Linked DNA regions of Xenopus tropicalis. The protein of the gene in region 4 binds, or shares a complex with, the protein of the main gene of each other region. Links are inferred from orthologs where the notes say so. Each region holds a gene or a part of one and is shown on either strand. Other genes may lie near its edges.

Evidence for each region.
Region 1: the proteins of rev1 (region 4) and pold3 are in contact, whole or in part, in an NMR structure (PDB 2N1G), measured with the Homo sapiens proteins. The link is inferred for Xenopus tropicalis from reciprocal best matches to the Homo sapiens genes REV1 and POLD3. Residues at the interface, in NP_057400.1 of Homo sapiens: Asn1158, Leu1159, Ala1160, Gly1161, Leu1171, Leu1172, Glu1174, Trp1175, Ile1179, Met1183, Glu1184, Glu1185, Asp1186, Gln1189, Val1190; in NP_006582.1 of Homo sapiens: Gly232, Asn233, Met234, Met235, Ser236, Asn237, Phe238, Phe239, Gly240, Ala242, Ala243, Met244.
Region 2: the proteins of rev1 (region 4) and polh are in contact, whole or in part, in an NMR structure (PDB 2LSK), measured with the Homo sapiens proteins. The link is inferred for Xenopus tropicalis from reciprocal best matches to the Homo sapiens genes REV1 and POLH. Residues at the interface, in NP_057400.1 of Homo sapiens: Asn1158, Leu1159, Ala1160, Gly1161, Leu1171, Leu1172, Trp1175, Ile1179, Asp1181, Pro1182, Met1183, Glu1185, Asp1186, Gln1189, Val1190; in NP_006493.1 of Homo sapiens: Thr528, Glu529, Pro530, Phe531, Phe532, Lys533, Lys535, Ser536, Leu539.
Region 3: the proteins of rev1 (region 4) and polk are in contact, whole or in part, in an NMR structure (PDB 2LSI), measured with the Homo sapiens proteins. The link is inferred for Xenopus tropicalis from reciprocal best matches to the Homo sapiens genes REV1 and POLK. Residues at the interface, in NP_057400.1 of Homo sapiens: Asn1158, Leu1159, Ala1160, Gly1161, Ala1162, Asp1167, Leu1171, Leu1172, Glu1174, Trp1175, Thr1178, Ile1179, Met1183, Glu1185, Asp1186, Gln1189, Val1190; in NP_001374042.1 of Homo sapiens: Lys564, Lys565, Ser566, Phe567, Phe568, Asp569, Lys571, Arg572, Arg575.

What each region holds. Positions count from the first base shown.
Region 1 is NC_030678.2:174,997,133-175,001,809, reverse strand, and holds the start of pold3 (DNA polymerase delta subunit 3), read right to left. Parts: upstream 2,969-4,677; 5' UTR 2,906-2,968; coding exon 2,849-2,905; intron 608-2,848; coding exon 552-607; intron 1-551. UniProt on the Homo sapiens protein: Accessory component of both the DNA polymerase delta complex and the DNA polymerase zeta complex.
Region 2 is NC_030681.2:2,465,234-2,469,801, reverse strand, and holds the start of polh (DNA polymerase eta), read left to right. Parts: upstream 1-1,425; 5' UTR 1,426-1,535; intron 1,536-3,132; 5' UTR 3,133-3,154; coding exon 3,155-3,291; intron 3,292-3,955; coding exon 3,956-4,090; intron 4,091-4,568. Other genes in the region: exportin-5, read right to left, coding at 1,163-1,402. UniProt on the Homo sapiens protein: DNA polymerase specifically involved in the DNA repair by translesion synthesis (TLS). Due to low processivity on both damaged and normal DNA, cooperates with the heterotetrameric (REV3L, REV7, POLD2 and POLD3) POLZ complex for complete bypass of DNA lesions.
Region 3 is NC_030677.2:184,304,457-184,308,947, forward strand, and holds the start of polk (DNA polymerase kappa), read left to right. Parts: upstream 1-1,313; 5' UTR 1,314-1,463; intron 1,464-4,491. UniProt on the Homo sapiens protein: DNA polymerase specifically involved in DNA repair. Plays an important role in translesion synthesis, where the normal high-fidelity DNA polymerases cannot proceed and DNA synthesis stalls.
Region 4 is NC_030678.2:112,573,336-112,577,268, forward strand, and holds part of rev1 (DNA repair protein REV1), read left to right. Parts: coding exon 1-152; intron 153-2,556; coding exon 2,557-2,664; intron 2,665-2,900; coding exon 2,901-3,017; intron 3,018-3,764; coding exon 3,765-3,888; intron 3,889-3,933. UniProt on the Homo sapiens protein: Deoxycytidyl transferase involved in DNA repair. Transfers a dCMP residue from dCTP to the 3'-end of a DNA primer in a template-dependent reaction.

The DNA.
Region 1 (4,677 bases), about 62 Mb from region 4:
ACTATTGAGTGCTATTCTGATACCTACTGGGAGCTGCTATCTTGCTCCCTTCCCATTGTTCTGCTGATCGGCTGCTGGGGGTGAGGGGGGGGGGATATCACTCCAACTTGCAGCGCAGCAGTAAAGTGTGCCTGAGTCTGAGCTTTCAGCCAGCGCTACACATTAGAACTGCTTTCAGCTAACCTATTGTTTCTCCTACTCCCATGTAACTGGAGGAGTCCCAAGCCGGACTTGGATTTCTTACTATTGAGTGCTATTCTGATACCTACTGGGAGCTGCTATCTTGCTCCCTTCCCATTGTTCTGCTGATCGGCTGCTGGGGGTGAGGGGGGGGGGATATCACTCCAACTTGCAGCGCAGCAGTAAAGTGTGAGTGAAGTTTATCAGAGCACAGGTCACATGGCTGTGGCACCCTGGGAAATGAAGAATATGGCTAGCCCCATGGGACATTTCAAAATGAAATATAAAAAAATATGTATGCATTTTTGTAAATGGGGGGATATTCGCAGTGAGGCCCCAATGGGAAGCAAGGGGGGGGGGGCAGTACTCACTGTTTCGCCAGGTTAACATGGACGCCCAGCGTGTGGCTCAGCCATTTGTACGTCACCTGTAACGCAAGCAGAGAGAATGGCGTCAGTCGGGGCAAGTCAGTATGATACATAGCGATACAGATGGGCGGGGCTAGAGGGATAATGAGGCTGAAATACCGGCAGCCCATTGGCTCAGTAACACAACAGGGACTGCCTGGGTCTCACTGCATTTGTACTGACCCAACCCCTGAACCAGAGGTGACCAAAACTGGCCAAAAACCAGATTGGGGCCCTGTTCCAAATGCAACATTATAAGGGTCATGCAAGGAATTATGGGAAGACCCCATCGTTCCCATCTGGGTGGGGGGGGGGATGACCCCAGGGTCCCCATCTGGGTAGGGGGGGGATGACCCCAGGGTCCCCATCTGGGTAAGGGGGGGATGACCCCAGGGTCCCCATCTGGGTAAGGGGGGGATGACCCCAGGGTCCCCATCTGGGTAAGGGGGTGACCCCAGGGTGCCCATCTGGGTAGGGGGGGGGTGACCCCAGGGTGCCCATCTGGGTAGGGGGGGTGACCCCAGGGTGCCCATCTGGGTAGGGGGGGTGACCCCAGGGTGCCCATCTGGGTAGGGGGGGGGTGACCCCAGGGTGCCCATCTGGGTGGGGGGGGGGATGACCCCAGGGTGCCCATCTGGGTGGGGGGGGGGGATGACCCCAGGGTGCCCATCTGGGTGGGGGGGGGGGGGATGACCCCAGGGTGCCTATCTGGGTGGGGGGGGGATGACCCCAGGGTGCCTATCTGGGTGGGGGGGGGGGGATGACCCCAGGGTGCCTATCTGGGTGGGGGGGGGGGGATGACCCCAGGGTGCCTATCTGGGTGGGGGGGGATGACCCCAGGGTGCCATCTGGGTAGGGGGGGGGTGACCCCAGGGTCCCCATCTGGGTAAGGGGGGGATGACCCCAGGGTCCCCATCTGGGTAGGGGGGGATGACCCCAGGGTCCCCATCTGGGTAGGGGGGGATGACCCCAGGGTCCCCATCTGGGTAAGGGGGGGATGACCCCAGGGTGCCCATCTGGGTAAGGGGGGGGATGACCCCAGGGTCCCCATCTGGGTAAGGGGGGGATGACCCCAGGGTCCCCATCTGGGTAGGGGGGGGGTGACCCCAGGGTGCCCATCTGGGTAAGGGGGGGGATGACCCCAGGGTCCCCATCTGGGTAGGGGGGGATGACCCCAGGGTCCCCATCTGGGTAGGGGGGGGGTGACCCCAGGGTCCCCATCTGGGTAGGGGGGGGGGTGACCCCAGGGTCCCCATCTGGGTAAGGGGGGGATGACCCCAGGGTGCCCATCTGGGTAGGGGATGACCCCAGGGTGCCTATATGGGTGGTGGGGGGGGGGGATGACCCCTGGGTGCCTATCTGGGTGGGGGGGGATGACCCCAGGGTGCCTATCTGGGTGGGGGGGGGATGACCCCAGGGTGCCTATCTGGGTGGGGGGGGGATGACCCCAGGGTGCCTATCTGGGTAGGGGGGGGTGACCCCAGGGTCCCCATCTGGGTAGGGGGGGGGGATGACCCCAGGGTGCCCATCTGGGTAGGGGGGGGATGACCCCAGGGTGCCTATCTGGGTAGGGGTGACCCCAGGGTCCCCATCTGGGTAGGGGGGGGGGGATGACCCCAGGGTGCCCATCTGGGTAGGGGGGGGGGATGACCCAGGGTGCCTATCTGGGTAGGGGGGGGGTGACCCCAGGGTGCCCATCTGGGTAGGGGGGGATGACCCCAGGGTGCCCATCTGGGTAGGGGGGGATGACCCCAGGGTGCCTATCTGGGTAGGGGGGGGTGACCCCAGGGTGCCCATCTGGGTAGGGGGGGTGACCCCAGGGTGCCCATCTGGGTAGGGGGGGGATGACCCCAGGGTGCCCATCTGGGTAGGGGGGCCCGGGGGGGGGGGGATGACCCCAGGGTGCCCATCTGGGTAGGGGGGGGGATGACCCCAGGGTGCCCATCTGGGTGGGGTGGGGGGGGGGATGACCCCAGGGTGCACATCTGGGTGGGTGGGGGGGGGATGACCCCAGGGTGCACATCTGGGTGGGTGGGGGGGGGATGACCCCAGGGTGCACATCTGGGTGGGTGGGGGGGGGATGACCCCAGGGTGCACATCTGGGTGGGTGGGGGGGGATGACCCCAGGGTGCCCATCTGGGTAAGGGGGAATAAACCACCAAATTGCCCATGCCAGGGAGAAGCGGCCCGGGTATTATTATAAGAAGGGACGGCAGGTTCCATTCAGAAGAGCCGGAGAGCCCCAGTTGCTCGGAACTCACGATCTTATTCTGATCAGCCACCAGCTCGTCGATATTCTCCAGGTACAGTTCGTCCATAGCTCCCGCCCGGGTCCGGCCCCAGGGAACCCGCAGCTACTCTCTATACTTGGCGCCTGACAACCGAGGCCAGCGGGAGCGGGGAGCGCAGGCGCAAAAGCACCAACATCATTGGCGGAGAGAAGACGCGGCTAAAGACGCTGCCCAATGAGAAGCGAGCTGCGCACACGTGGAACAGAAATAAACACGCCCCTTCCCTGTGCCAGTACTAGAGCAAGGCACGCCGGGAAGGTTAACTCTATATGTGCTGGAGGCAGGACCTCTGCAGGCTCTCTCTATAGGGCAGGCAGACTTTACCCTTACAGGCAGATACAAGGGGGAATCTGTAGGAAATGGAGTCACAGCTTGAACAGGCAAACCTGGGGTTTAAAGGGACCCTGCCCTCATATTTATGGGGCTGTTTGTCTCTAAATGACACTGTCACACAGAAACAATTCCCTCTGCCATTTAACCTTCTATTCTTGTACCAACAAATGTATTTGTAGCTGTAATATTGGTGTGTAGGCGCCATCTCAGTGCCTTGTGCCTGAGTCTGAGCTTTCAGCCAGCGCTACACATTAGAACTGCTTTCAGCTAACCTATTGTTTCTCCTACTCCCATGTAACTGGAGGAGTCCCAAGCCGGACTTGGATTTCTTACTATTGAGTGCTATTCTGATACCTACTGGGAGCTGCTATCTTGCTCCCTTCCCATTGTTCTGCTGATTGGCTGCTGGGGGTGAGGGGGGGGGATATCACTCCAACTTGCAGCGCAGCAGTAAAGTGTGCCTGAGTCTGAGCTTTCAGCCAGCGCTACTCATTAGAACTGCTTTCAGCTAACCTATTGTTTCTCCTACTCCCATGTAACTGGAGGAGTCCCAAGCCGGACTTGGATTTCTTACTATTGAGTGCTATTCTGATACCTACTGGGAGCTGCTATCTTGCTCCCTTCCCATTGTTCTGCTGATTGGCTGCTGGGGGTGAGGGGGGGGATATCACTCCAACTTGCAGCGCAGCAGTAAAGTGTGCCTGAGTCTGAGCTTTCAGCCAGCGCTACTCATTAGAACTGCTTTCAGCTAACCTATTGTTTCTCCTACTCCCATGTAACTGGAGGAGTCCCAAGCCGGACTTGGATTTCTTACTATTGAGTGCTATTCTGATACCTACTGGGAGCTGCTATCTTGCTCCCTTCCCATTGTTCTGCTGATCGGCTGCTGGGGGTGATGTTTTCCCATGTCAGTGTTCCTTTAATGTATGTGAACTGGAACAATTTTATCCCTATAGCCTACAGCAGCACTTGGTATCCATAGTACAGGTATGGGACCCGTTATCCAGAATGCTCGGGACCTGGGATTTTCCGGATAAGGGGTATTTCTATAATAGGATTGTTCTGCCCCCAATAAGGGGTAATTATATCTTAGTTGGGATCAAGTACAGGTACTGTTTTATTATAACAGAGAAAAGGGAATCATTTAACCATTAAATAAACCCAATAGGGCTGTTCTGCCCCCAATAAGGGGTAATTATATCTTAGTTGGGATCAAGTACAGGTACTGTTTTATTATTACAGAGAAAAGGGAATCATTTAACCATTAAATAAACCCAATAGGGCTGTTCTGCCCCAATAAGGGGTAATTATATCTTAGTTGGGATCAAGTACAGGTACTGTTTTATTATTACAGAGAAAAGGGAATCATTTAACCATTAAATAAACCCAATAGGGCTGTTCTGCCCCAATAAGGGGTAATTATATCTTAGTTGGGATCAAGTACAGGTACTGTTTTATTATTACAG
Region 2 (4,568 bases), on a different chromosome or scaffold from region 4:
CCCCTGCCTCGGTATATTTACCCCCCTGCCTCGGTATATTTACCCCCTGCCCCGGTATATTTACCCCCTGCCCCGGTATATTTACCCCCTGCCTCGGTAATTACCCCCTGCCTCGGTATATTTACCCCCTGCCTCGGTATATTACCCCCTGCCTCGGTTATATTTACCCCCTGCCTCGGTTTATTTACCCCCTGCCTCGGTTTATTTACCCCCTGCCTCGGTTATTTACCCCCTGCCTCGGTATATTTACCCCCTGCCTCGGTATATTACCCCTGCCCGGTATATTTACCCCCTGCCCCGGTATATTTACCCCCTGCCCTCGGTATATTTACCCCTGCCCGGTATATTTACCCCCTGCCTCGGTATATTTACCCCCTGCCTCAGTATATTTACCCCCTGCCCCAGTATATTTACCCCCTGCCCCAGTATATTTACCCCCTGCCTCAGTATATTTACCCCCTGCCTCAGTTTATTTACCCCCTGCCTCAGTATATTTACCCCCTGCCTCGGTTTATTTACCCCCTGCCTCAGTATATGTACCCCTGCCCCAGTATATTTACCCCTGCCCCAGTATATTTACCCCCCTGCCTCGGTATATTTACCCCCTGCCTCGGTATATTTACCCCCTGCCTCGGTATATTTACCCCCTGCCCCAGTATATTTACCCCCTGCCTCAGTATATTTACCCCCTGCCTCAGTATATTACCCCCTGCATCAGTATATTTACCCCCTGCCCCAGTATATTTACCCCCTGCATCAGTATATTTACCCCCTGCCTCAGTATATTTACCCCCTGCATCAGTATATTTACCCCCTGCCTCAGTATATTTACCCCCTGCATCAGTATATTTACCCCCTGCCCCAGTATATTTACCCCCTGCATCAGTATATTTACCCCTGCCTCAGTATATTTACCCCCTGCCCCAGTATATTTACCCCCTGCATCAGTATATTTACCCCCTGCCTCAGTATATTTACCCCCTGCCCCAGTATATTTACCCCCTGCCCCAGTATATTTACCCCCTGCCTCAGTATATTTACCCCCTGCCCCAGTATATTTACCCCCTGCCCCGGTATATTTACCCCCTGCCTCGGTATATTTACCCCCTGCCCCGGTATATTTACCCCCTGCCCCAGGCAGTTGCTCTGCCAGCCCCGGTACCTTGTGCGCTTCCTGCCGCCCCTCCTGACTGGACTTGGGATCCATGATAACAGTGAGGGCCCGTACGAGGCGGCCGCACAGGACATGCAGTTGGGAAGCCATTGCCCCGGTGCTATTACTGTGCCACTCACTGAGAGCACCCCCAGCAACTCTCCCATCATTGCGCATGCGCATTTGGTACCATAGAGCCGCTATGGGAGCGGTGCGCATGCGCAGTCGGGCGATTCTGTGTTTGCGCATGCGCACAGGCTGTTATGATCCTGTCACGCTTTAGCGGGAGTCCGAGTTGTGAGGGAGTACGGAGACCTGCTGGGGTCAAATGCCTTCATAGTGCAGACACCAACTGCGACGGTCTGGGAGAGGTTTGAAGTGTGTGAGTTTAGTCAGTCAGATCTGATACCTTATATGTCTTCCTGTTCCCTATTCTCTGTTTTGTGCTTCCTACTCCCTGTCCCCTGCTCTCTAACCCCTGCTCTCTAACCCCTACCCCCTGCTCTCTAACCCCTACCCCCTACTTCCTACTCCCTGTCCCCTGCTCTCTAACCCCTACCCCCTACTTCCTACTCCCTGTCCCCTGCTCTCTAACCCCTACCCCCTGCTTTCTACTCCCTGTCCCCTGCTCTCTAACCCCTACCCCTGCTCTCTAACCCCTGTCCCCTGCTCTCTAACCCCTACCCCCTACTTCCTACTCCCTGTCCCCTGCTCTCTAACCCCTACCCCCTGCTTTCTACTCCCTGTCCCCTACTTCCTACTCCCTGTCCCCTGCTTTCTACTCCCTGTCCCCTGCTTTCTACTCCCTGTCCCCTGCTTTCTACTCCCTGTCCCCTGCTCTCTAACCCCTACCCCCTGCTCTCTAACCCCTGTCCCCTGCTCTCTAACCCCTACCCCCTACTTCCTACTCCCTGTCCCCTGCTCTCTAACCCCTACCCCCTGCTCTCTAACCCCTACCCCCTGCTCTCTAACCCCTACCCCCTATTTCCTACTCCCTGTCCCCTGCTCTCTAACCCCTACCCCCTGCTCTCTAACCCCTACCCCCTACTTCCTACTCCCTGTCCCCTGCTCTCTAACCCCTACCCCCTGCTCTCTAACCCCTACCCCCTATTTCCTACTCCCTGTCCCCTGCTCTCTAACCCCTACCCCCTGCTCTCTAACCCCTACCCCCTACTTCCTACTCCCTGTCCCCTGCTCTCTAACCCCTACCCCCTGCTCTCTAACCCCTACCCCCTATTTCCTACTCCCTGTCCCCTGCTCTCTAACCCCTACCCCCTGCTCTCTAACCCCTACCCCCTACTTCCTACTCCCTGTCCCCTGCTCTCTAACCCCTACCCCCTACTTCCTACTCCCTGTCCCCTGCTCTCTAACCCCTACCCCCTGCTCTCTAACCCCTGCTCTCTAACCCCTACTTCCTACTCCCTGTCCCCTGCTCTCTAACCCCTACCCCCTGCTCTCTAACCCCTACCCCCTGCTCTCTAACTCCTACCCCCTACTTTTTACTGCCTGTCCCCTGCTCTCTAACCCCTACCCCCTACTTTCTCCTCCCACTTCCCTCCTCCCTATTCTGTGCTTTCTACTCCCTGTTCCCTGCTCTCTAACCCCTGCTTTCTACTCCCTGTTCCCTGCTCTCTAACCCCTGCTTTCTATTCCCTGTTCCCTGCTCTCTAACCCCTGCTTTCTGCTCCCTGTTCCCTGCTCTCTAACCCCTGCTATCTACTCCCTGTTCCCTGCTCTCTAACCCCTGCTATCTACTCCCTGTTCCCTGCTCTCTATCCTATGCTTTCTACTCCCTGTTCCCTGCTCTCTATCCTATGCTCTTTATTCCCTTGCTTTCCATTCCCTGCACAATGCCCACTCTCTCTCCCCCCAGTTCCCCCGCTCTTTCTGCCCCCAGTTCCCCCACGCTCTCTCTGCCCCCCCTGCTAGTTCAGTGTGTGTTTATTGAATAACTCCCAGAACCTTACTGCTCTTTCCAGTATCAGACTGCACTGAGCTGCAATGGAGTCGGGGCAGGAGCGAGTGGTGGCGCTGGTGGATATGGATTGTTTCTATGTACAAGTTGAGCAGCGCATGAATCCGGCACTGAAGAACAAGCCAGTGGCAGTGGTGCAGTACAAAACCTGGAAAGGAGGCGGGTGAGTTCCTGGTGCTTTTGCCTAGAAACAAGGGGCACTGAGTGCTGGTACCACTGGATCTCCTGCTTGTGAGGGTCCTATTTACCCTAGCAACCAGGCAGTGGTTTAAACAAGAGATGGAAATATGAATAGTAGAGGGCCTGCATAGAAATATAAGTAATAAAAAGTAACAATAAAACTGGAGCCTCGCAGAGCAATAGGGTTTGGCTGCCGGGGTCAGTGACCCCATTTGAAAACTGGAATAAGGCAGAAAATAAAGGCAAATAATTAAAAAAAAAAAAACTATAAGAAATGATGAAAACCAATTGCAAAGTTGCACGGAATAGGGCATTCTATAATGTACTAGAAGGTGAACCTCCCCTTTAAAGGCACACTCCTATAATATTAAAGGGCAGATATTGGAGCTGTATTTCCCCAGTGCCAGTAAGAGGGGACTCTTGTTCTGCTTACTTTCTTAGGCCAATAGAAGCTGCTTGGGTAGAACTTTCATTGCTTCTAAACAGATCAGCATTCGGACCCTCCTTGCACATATATCCGTGTTATGAGAATATTATAGCAATTACTTGGCACATATTATTCTCAGGGGGGGACCTCGGGGTTACCAGCACCTCCATGTTGTTTATGTGAAGGCCTGAGAGTTCCGTGTCTCCCTGTCTGTGCTCAGGATTATCGCTGTGAGCTATGAAGCCCGGGCCTTTGGCGTGACGAGGAACATGTTTGGTGACGACGCAAAGAAGCTGTGCGCTGATCTGCAGCTGGCCCGCGTCAGAGAGGCTCATGGGAAGGCTGACCTGACAAAGTAAGTAACTGTGGGACAGGGCTCTTTGCTGTCACTCACCCTGACACCCACCCTGTCGCTCTCTAGCTGTGTGACTGCTGCACATTATTCCACATTATTGCCGCATTTCAGGTAAAGACCCTTAATTTTAGGCTAATAAATAACATAAGTGTGACATATACAGATCAAAACACAAATGAAATACAAAGTACAAGTATAAGACCCATTATCCAGAATGCTCGGGACCTGGAGTTTTCCGGATAAGGGGTCATTCTGTAAATCTCCATACCTCAAGTACAGGTACTGTTTTATTATTACAGAGAAAAGGGAATCATTTAACCATTAAATAAACCCAATAGGGCTGTTCTGCCCCAATAAGGGGTAATTATATCTTAGTTGGGATCAAGTACAGGTACTGTTTTATTATTACAGAGAAAAGGGAATCATTTAACCATGAAATAAACCCAATAGGGCTGTTCTGCCCCAATAAAGGGTAATT
Region 3 (4,491 bases), on a different chromosome or scaffold from region 4:
TGGTGCTTTCCTGAGCCTTGTGCATTTCGTTCCTGTGTCCTGCTTGTTGCCTTCCTGTGTTTTTGACCCGGCTTGCTCCTGACTATTCTGATAATCCATTTCTGACCTCGGCTTGTACTTTGACTCCGATTTCGTCTCGTCCTGCTGTTTTGATTATCCGGTTTGACCCTTGCCTGTCTGACGATCCTTCTTACTGCCTGCCCCGACCCAGCCTGCCTGACTACGAACTTGCCTCATCCTTTTGTACCGTGATCTTCGGCCTAATTGACTTTAACTACAGTCGTGCCCCTTTGCTTGCCAGAACTCCTGCCTTGTTTCTCTCGTTAAGTCCAGGTGGCATCTGAGTAGCTGAGGGCTCCTCCCGAAGCCAAAGGCGGTCACAATACTGGTGAAGCCGAGACAAGGGAACTTGGCATCTGTTCTGGTTTAGGGTGCCGACCGTGACACGGTGCTGTTTTCCCTTTGTTCTAAAAATTAATCCTCTCTGTAAAAATGGCCCCTTTATTGGAGCTCCCTATAGATCGTATCACTTCTCTATCCAGTGTGAAATGAAGAGTGGGTGTGTCCTAACGGTCCCTGCCAGAAGCAAAGTAGGAGGGGGAGAGCCAATCACAGCCCTGCAGTCACACAAGCACAGCCAGACTTCAGTTCCCTATCAGGTCAGCCTAGCTGCTGATTGGTTCCTATCCTACAGTGCAGTGTACTGAGGGCCCCGGCTCCCTTGCACATTCAGAGAATTCAGCCAGCAGGAAGTGGAACAGATGGGCGGGACTAGTGGGGTTTTGGTGGAATTTCTCAATAAATCAGTCAGAAAAACAACTTTTTAAAGCACATTCCTTCTATATCTGGAGGAGTATAATTCACTGGTACATTCATAATTTTTATAGGATATGTCTCCTTTAAGCCCAGCACTGCAGACAAATAACTTGTAAGGAGCCCCAAGATTTTTGATAGAGGCTTTGTCTAGCATTGCCATTTCCCTTATTTCTTTTTTTATAATTTCCCATATGTTAATACAAATAATCCTTGTTTCTATTTGTTTACATTTATTGTGAAGTGCTGCATTATTTGCTGGCACATTATAATTAACTGATGATGATGATGATAATAATTCTTCACATTTGACAGATTTACTTTTTTGCTTGTAAAAATATAAAAGTATCTTGTATTTGCATGCAACTGACAGCTTATGCTGTAGCACACTTTATTTTTCTGCTTTGAGCACCAAATGCCAACTTCACTCAGGTATCATTGCGTTTAAATTCACTTTGTTTGCGAAGTAGGGTTGATAGGTATTCCCTCCACAAAGATGGCGGAACTGGCTTCTCCGAGTTAGAACCAAGTTCCAGGAAGTAGAGAGGGGCCGGCTGTAGCCGACTGAGGAAGACGGAACGTTGCTTGAATGGAGGAGGGAAAAAGAAAGTGAGATTATTTTCTGTCTATTGAGGCTTGAGCCATAGTTGGTAAGTGAAAGAAATGAAAGGGCCTCACACAGGATTTGAAAGCTCACATTTGGTGAGCAGAAGCGCTGCCTGTGTGAGTGGAAATGCTTTCAATGATTTCTGCACAAGTGACAGCTGCATGATGTGACATGTCTGTACTTGCTCCTGCTGTTTACATGTATATGAGTTTTTCTGTGTTTAGTGGAACCCGGTTTTGAATGCAGTGGCAGTGTTATTTTATTTGCTTTGAGGCGGGTTGGTCTGTACATTCATTTGCAAGAAAAGGTTTGAATTATATAAATTGATTGTACATACATGTTCACATAATACAGACATTAAGTCCTCTGGTTGCTAGTCTTTTTTCACTGTGTATAAATATCTTTTATGATGTACCAGGGAAATATGAAAAAAAAAAAATTACATATATAGCATTATAATATAAAGCATATAATATAAAGCATTATGCTATAAAGTCATACAATCAACTCAGCAATCCCCCTTGATTGAATGCCACTAATCTGTTTGTGCAGCCATAAGAGCAGCGTGCTAATATTGACTGAAATTTTTTTACACATTAACACAATTTACAAAAGGTATATGCTTCTTGGAATTTTGGGGTAAAAACATGATAATTAGCATCCAAAAAGTACCCTTAAAGGAGAAGGAAAGGCTAAGTCACTTGGGGGTGCCATAATGTTAGGCACCCCATTGACTTTAATCGCATACCTTTTACCCCGGGCTGGTGCCCCTGTTAGGAGAAAACAGCACCAGCCCGGGGTACCTGCACTGAGCACTTCCTTCTTCCGTGTTCACTCTGCCGTCAAAGTCCCTGGACCGGCGCCTGTGTATTAGAGTGAAAAGCTGACTTTGTTGTTAAAATTTTGCTAAACTACGCATGCGCACGAACAAGGAAAAAGGAAGCGCTCTCAGCTACCCCGGGGTAAAAGGTAAGCGATTAAAGTCACTTGGGGGTGCCTAACATTTTGGCACCCCCAAGTGACTTAGCCTTTCCTTCTTCTTTAACACCATGGGGTCCATTTATCAATGTACGATTAAAAGAAGTTTTAGAACTGTGTCTATTTTCTGCGATTTTTTTCATTATCTGCTTTTTCGTGCTTTGCGACAATTTGTGCAACATAATCGTATTTGTCGCAAAGCGTTCGAAAGTTTTGGATTCATTAAAGCTTCAGTATTGTAACTTTCCTTGGGCCAGGTTGGAGCTGCAGAGTGCCATTGAGCCCTATGGGAGGCTTTCCTTGGGCCGGGTTGGAGCTGCAGAGTGCCACTGAGCCCTATGGGAGACTTTCCTTGGGCCGGGTTGGAGCTGCAGAGTGCCATTGAGCCCTATGGGAGACTTTCCTTGGGCCAGGTTGGAGCTGCAGAGTGCCATTGAGCCCTATGGGAGGCTTTCCTTGGGCCGGGTTGGAGCTGCAGAGTGCCATTGAGCCCTATGGGAGGCTTTCCTTGGGCCGGGTTGGAGCTGCAGAGTGCCATTGAGCCCTATGGGAGGCTTTCCTTGGGCCGGGTTGGAGCTGCAGAGTGCCATTGAGCCCTATGGGAGACTTTCCTTGGGCCGGGTTGGAGCTGCAGAGTGCCATTGAGCCCTATGGGAGACTTTCCTTGGGCCAGGTTGGAGCTGCAGAGTGCCATTGAGCCCTATGGGAGGCTTTCCTTGGGCCGGGTTGGAGCTGCAGAGTGCCATTGAGCCCTATGGGAGACTTTCCTTGGGCCGGGTTGGAGCTGCAGAGTGCCATTCAGCCCTATGGGAGACTTTCCTTGGGCCAGGTTGGAGATGCAGAGTGCCATTGAGCCCTATGGGAGGCTTTCCTTGGGCCAGGTTGGAGCTGCAGAGTGTCATTGAGTCCTATGGGAGGTTTCCAAAAACATGCACAGAAGGTTCAGTCAGAAAGTTTATTTGCGCCTTTTTACGATCGTTCGGATACGAAAATTTCAGAACTGTCGGATCGCACCATGATATTTTTGTACGACCACAATGCAATCTGAAATTTTCATATCTAATACAAAATTTTTGCTGCCCGAAATTCGGACTTTGATAAATCAGCCCCCATGTGTTGCATTAACAAGTGTGCTTTGTCATAACTTGTAAGGAATGAAGAGAGATAAAAGTAGGATGCACCAAATACAGGACAAGAGTTAGGTGATTTGCAGAATTTTAAGTATTCAGCCCTATATGATTATGAACCCTCGTGAGTCATGTGACACAATTAATGCCATTTTTTCAATTTGAATAAACAAATTATGGTTCCGAAGTGCTTTGTACAAGATTTATTGAAATTTGATGAATTCTGTGCCCAATAGAAAAGTGGTCACTGTATCCACAGTCACAAGGCATGATAGAAAGGTTAAAAAGAGCTTTTAGAAAGATGTCCACACAAATCTGTGTTTGTTTTTGCATAATTAAAAAAACGTAATTCTAAACAAATTTCCAATATATGTTACTTACAAATACTTGGTGATTTCAAGATATCTGTATGTGTAATTATTTTTATGTTTTTTAAATAATTTAGCTTTTTGTTCAACAGCTCTCTGGTTTGTAACTGGTTGTTAGGGTCCAATATAACTTAGTAACCAGGCAGTGGCTTGAATGAAAGACTGAAATATAAATAGTAGGGCGACTGAAGAGATCGGTAAGTAATAAAAATTAACAGTAACAATACAGTTGTAGCCTCACAGAGCCATAGTATTTTTGGCTGCAAGTAACCCCCATTTGAAAGCTAGAAAAAGGAGGAAGAGGAAGGCAAATAACTCAAAAACTTACAAAAATGAAAAACGAATAGGCCATTCTGTAATGTGCTAAAAGTTAACATCAAGGTGAACCACCCCTGTAACTGCTTGTCTGATCACATAAAATGAAGCAGAAATCAGCTGCCTTCCATGCTTTGGTTATTTTACTTCTTCTTAGGTCTGTTAAGAGAAATTGCAAGTACAGGTATTGTGAAAATTAGTATTTTCTTTTTCTGAAATTTGGAAACATCTTTGCTGTTAATCTCAAGATAAATGTATCGTTTGCAGAATCTTTTAGGAAGAA
Region 4 (3,933 bases):
TGACCCCAATTTTATTTCAGATTTTTATTCTCACTCCAGACTTCATCATATATCGACGTGGAAGTGTGAGTTCACTGAGTTTGTGCGCGGTCTACAGACTCAAAGTAACAAAGGCTTCCCAGGTCGGGAGAGGTTAAAAAAATTAAAGCCTGGTATGTATGTTATAAAGTATTGTTTCACTATTTACATTTTCAGGGCTGCCATAAAGGGGTACATGGGGTACAGCAATCAGGGGCCCCATTAGACATTACATTTTAATTTGCAGACCATGAAGAGCTTGTGGGAGAATAGGCAGGGTTTTGTCAGATCATGGAAGTGGTTTTCATGTAATAGTCATGATTGGGGTGGATCAGGGGGCGTGACTATAGTTACATAGTTACATAGGGTTGAAAAAAGACCAGTGTCCATCAAGTTCAACCCATCCAAGTAAACCCAGCACACCTAACCCACACCTACCATTCTATACACTCACATACATAAACTATAAATACAACCACTAGTACTAACTGTAGATATTAGTATCACAATAGCCTTGGATATTCTGATTGATCAAGAACTCATCCAGGCCCCTCTTAAAGGCATTAACAGAATCTGCCATTACCACATCACTAGGAAGGGCATTCCATAACCTCACTGCCCTCACCGTGAAAAACCACCTACGCTGCTTCAAATGGAAGCTCCTTTCCTCTAATCTAAAGGGGTGACCTCTGGTGCATTGATTGTTTTTATGGGAAAAAAGAACATCCCCCATCTGCCTATAATCCCCTCTAATGTACTTGTACAGAGTAATCATGTCCCCTCGCAAGCGCCTCTTTTCCAGAGAAAACAACCCCAACCTCGACAGTCTCACCTCATAGTTTAAATCTTCCATCCCCTTAACCAGTTTAGTTGCACGTCTCTGCACTTTCTCCAGCTCATTAATATCCTTCTTAAGGACTGGAGCCCAAAACTGCACTGCATACTCAAGGTGAGGCCTTACCAGGGACCTATAAAGGGGCAAAATTATGTTCTCATCCCTTGAGTCAACGCCCTTTTTTATACAAGACAGCACTTTATTTAGTAGCCACAGAATGACACTGCCTGGCATTAGACAACTTGTTATCAACAAAAAACCCTAGATCCTTCTCCATTAAGGATACCCCCAACACACTACCATTCAGTAGATAGTTTGCGTTTATATTATTTCTACCAAAGTGCATAACTTTGCACTTATCAACATTGAACCTCATTTTCCAGTTTGCTGCCCAGTTATCTAATTTTGTCAAATCGCTCTGCAAAGCGGCAGCATCCTGCATGGAACTTATAGTTTTGCACTATGTCTGTGGATACTTTTTTTCTATTTGTTGAGGTACCTTGGGGACCTGTACATTGTCATTTTTACTCACTACAATCTTTTTGTGCAGCTTTTACAAGTGGACTAATGATCCAACCTTAATGATTTGCCTGTGGATCACAGATATGTAGGTTGGATTCTTTTTAAATAATGTCAAACAGAGTTTAGGACTTTGAGGCTGGCTGAGGGCTGTTTAATGTCTTAGTGTCCTTTAACTGCCCCCACTGGCCTCCAGTTTTATAACCCTGCTCTAAACTATGGATCTACCTATGTGTCCAGGTTATAGCCTGTTTTGGGAAATCTAGTATACAGGTACTAGTGTAATTTTTCCTCTATGTTGTTCCAAGTAAAGCTTTAAATATATTTGCATGCATGACCAAAAGTCTGTTTAAATCCTTTCCGAAATGCACCTGTATTTTATTTTCAATTATCTTTATACTCCCTCAGCATGTGGGATGAATTACTATTAGAAGTGTGATAAAATATTTAATTCAACTTTCAGCAACAATACTATATGCAATAGTATTTAACTCTCTTTAAATTCATTTGATGCCACAAATTTTAGTATACAAACTAATAGCCCTTTTGGCTCTCTATAAAGCTCCAAAAATTACCATTTATCACTCTCTAGTAAAGGTAAACTGAAAAAGCACAGCTACTGATGGTATCAGAATTTCTAATTCTTATTTCTTTATAAAAAGAAAACCTTTATTTTCCAGTATAGTTATCTATGGGAAAACCATATAGTGTTGACCTGCATCAATGTATTTGCATCATAATATCATGCTGTGACCATGTACAAAATTTTATTGAGGTACTAATAATGTCTATGCATACATTTTTTACAGAACCTTGTAAATATTCTATTCCTTCTTAAAAATAAAACAAAATGAAATGTTATGAATTTCATGGGTACACCCCACATTTTTTCAATTTAGGAGAAAATGCATTCTGTGCTTGCTGCATTTATTAATTATTTATTATTGATGTTCAAGAAGCTATTACTGTTTCTCCAGTAAAGCATTTTACTTTGTATGTTCAGGTAGCGTACAATTCCTAAGCACTAGGGATTTTTAGACAATGGGGATATTATTATTTAAAGTAGCATGTAATTTTCTAAATAGAGTTTCTCTCCCATTAGAATATGCAACATTCTTGTGTGATGTAATGTGCAAAGTACAATACATTCCAGGAGTTAAGATCATTTTACTGTATTTAATTAGGTAATATGCCTCCTTCCACATTACCGAAGTGCCAGAACTGTATCATACACGTAGATATGGACTGCTTCTTTGTATCTGTGGCTATTCGCAACCGTCCGGACCTCAAAGGTAACTGTGCAGCATGTGGTTGCAAATAATAATTGTTTGATATATTGCATGCAGTGTCATTTTGTACCCATTGTATACCAGTTGTCATTAGTACAGTTTACACTGGTAATGGCTTGTGATGTTTATTATATACATAAAGGTAATTTTGATCACGTTCATGGTTGTTCTGTGAAAAATCATGTATCTTAGTTTGCTATTAAACCATATAACTGTGATTTTTCTTATTATCTGAAAAGGAAAACCAGTCGCTGTTACAAGCAACAGAGGTGCTGGAACAACGACAACGCGGGAAGGAGCTAATCCTCAGCTAGAGTTTCAGTATTATCAAAACAGGATACTAAAGGGAAAAGCTGGTATGTTTGTGTATTAAATGGACTGTAGTCTAATTGCCAGGGATACTGGCAACTATTATTTTTATTATCATTAACACAGATATACATAATAAACATTGCTTTACAGTGAAAGGGGGGTGTACACATCGAATATACAAACATTGCCTGATACAGGAAGTGAAGAGGGCCCTGCTCATTAGAGATTGCAGTCTAAATGTAATTTAGCAATATATGTCTTATTGGTTTACTAAAACTCACTTGGGTTAATGCATAATAATTAATAAATAGACCAAATTAATATTTACTAATTATTTACTGCAGTGATTGTTGAAGGCCATAAATCGTATGTTTCATCCTCCTGTATATAGTGGGATGAAAATACCTGTATAGGATTTAAAGAATATTCTTATTCCCTGGGGGAGGGGTACCAAGATGTTATGCACCCACCCAATAAATGAAATCGCTGTTCACTGGATTGAACTGGCTGGATTTCTTTTTCTTGGAAAAAATGTACAAGCCCAGGAATCATTTTTGCTTAACTCTATTCTGCCATCTTGTCGGTAATATTTGAAAATTTTGCTATAGTACCCAAGTGCACAAGTCTGGAAAGATGGCAGCACTTTAGTGCCAAGTTAGCAATTTAAGTAATTTTAATTAATTAAGTAGTTTCTTTTTGTTTGTTTACAGTAATTTTCTATTGATCTAATTATTTTATGATATGTTGCTAATTCCAATATAATACATAATCATCCAATTTTCTTTGTTTAGAGATTCCTAATGAACAAGATCAGCCTACATCTATCAGTTCAGATTCTGCACAACAAAATGGTCTAGACCTGGATATTTCACATCTATCCATGGCAGAAATCGCATCTTGCAGTTATGAAGCAAGGTATTGCATAAAGAGAAACCGATCTAAAATTAGCAAAATATAGTA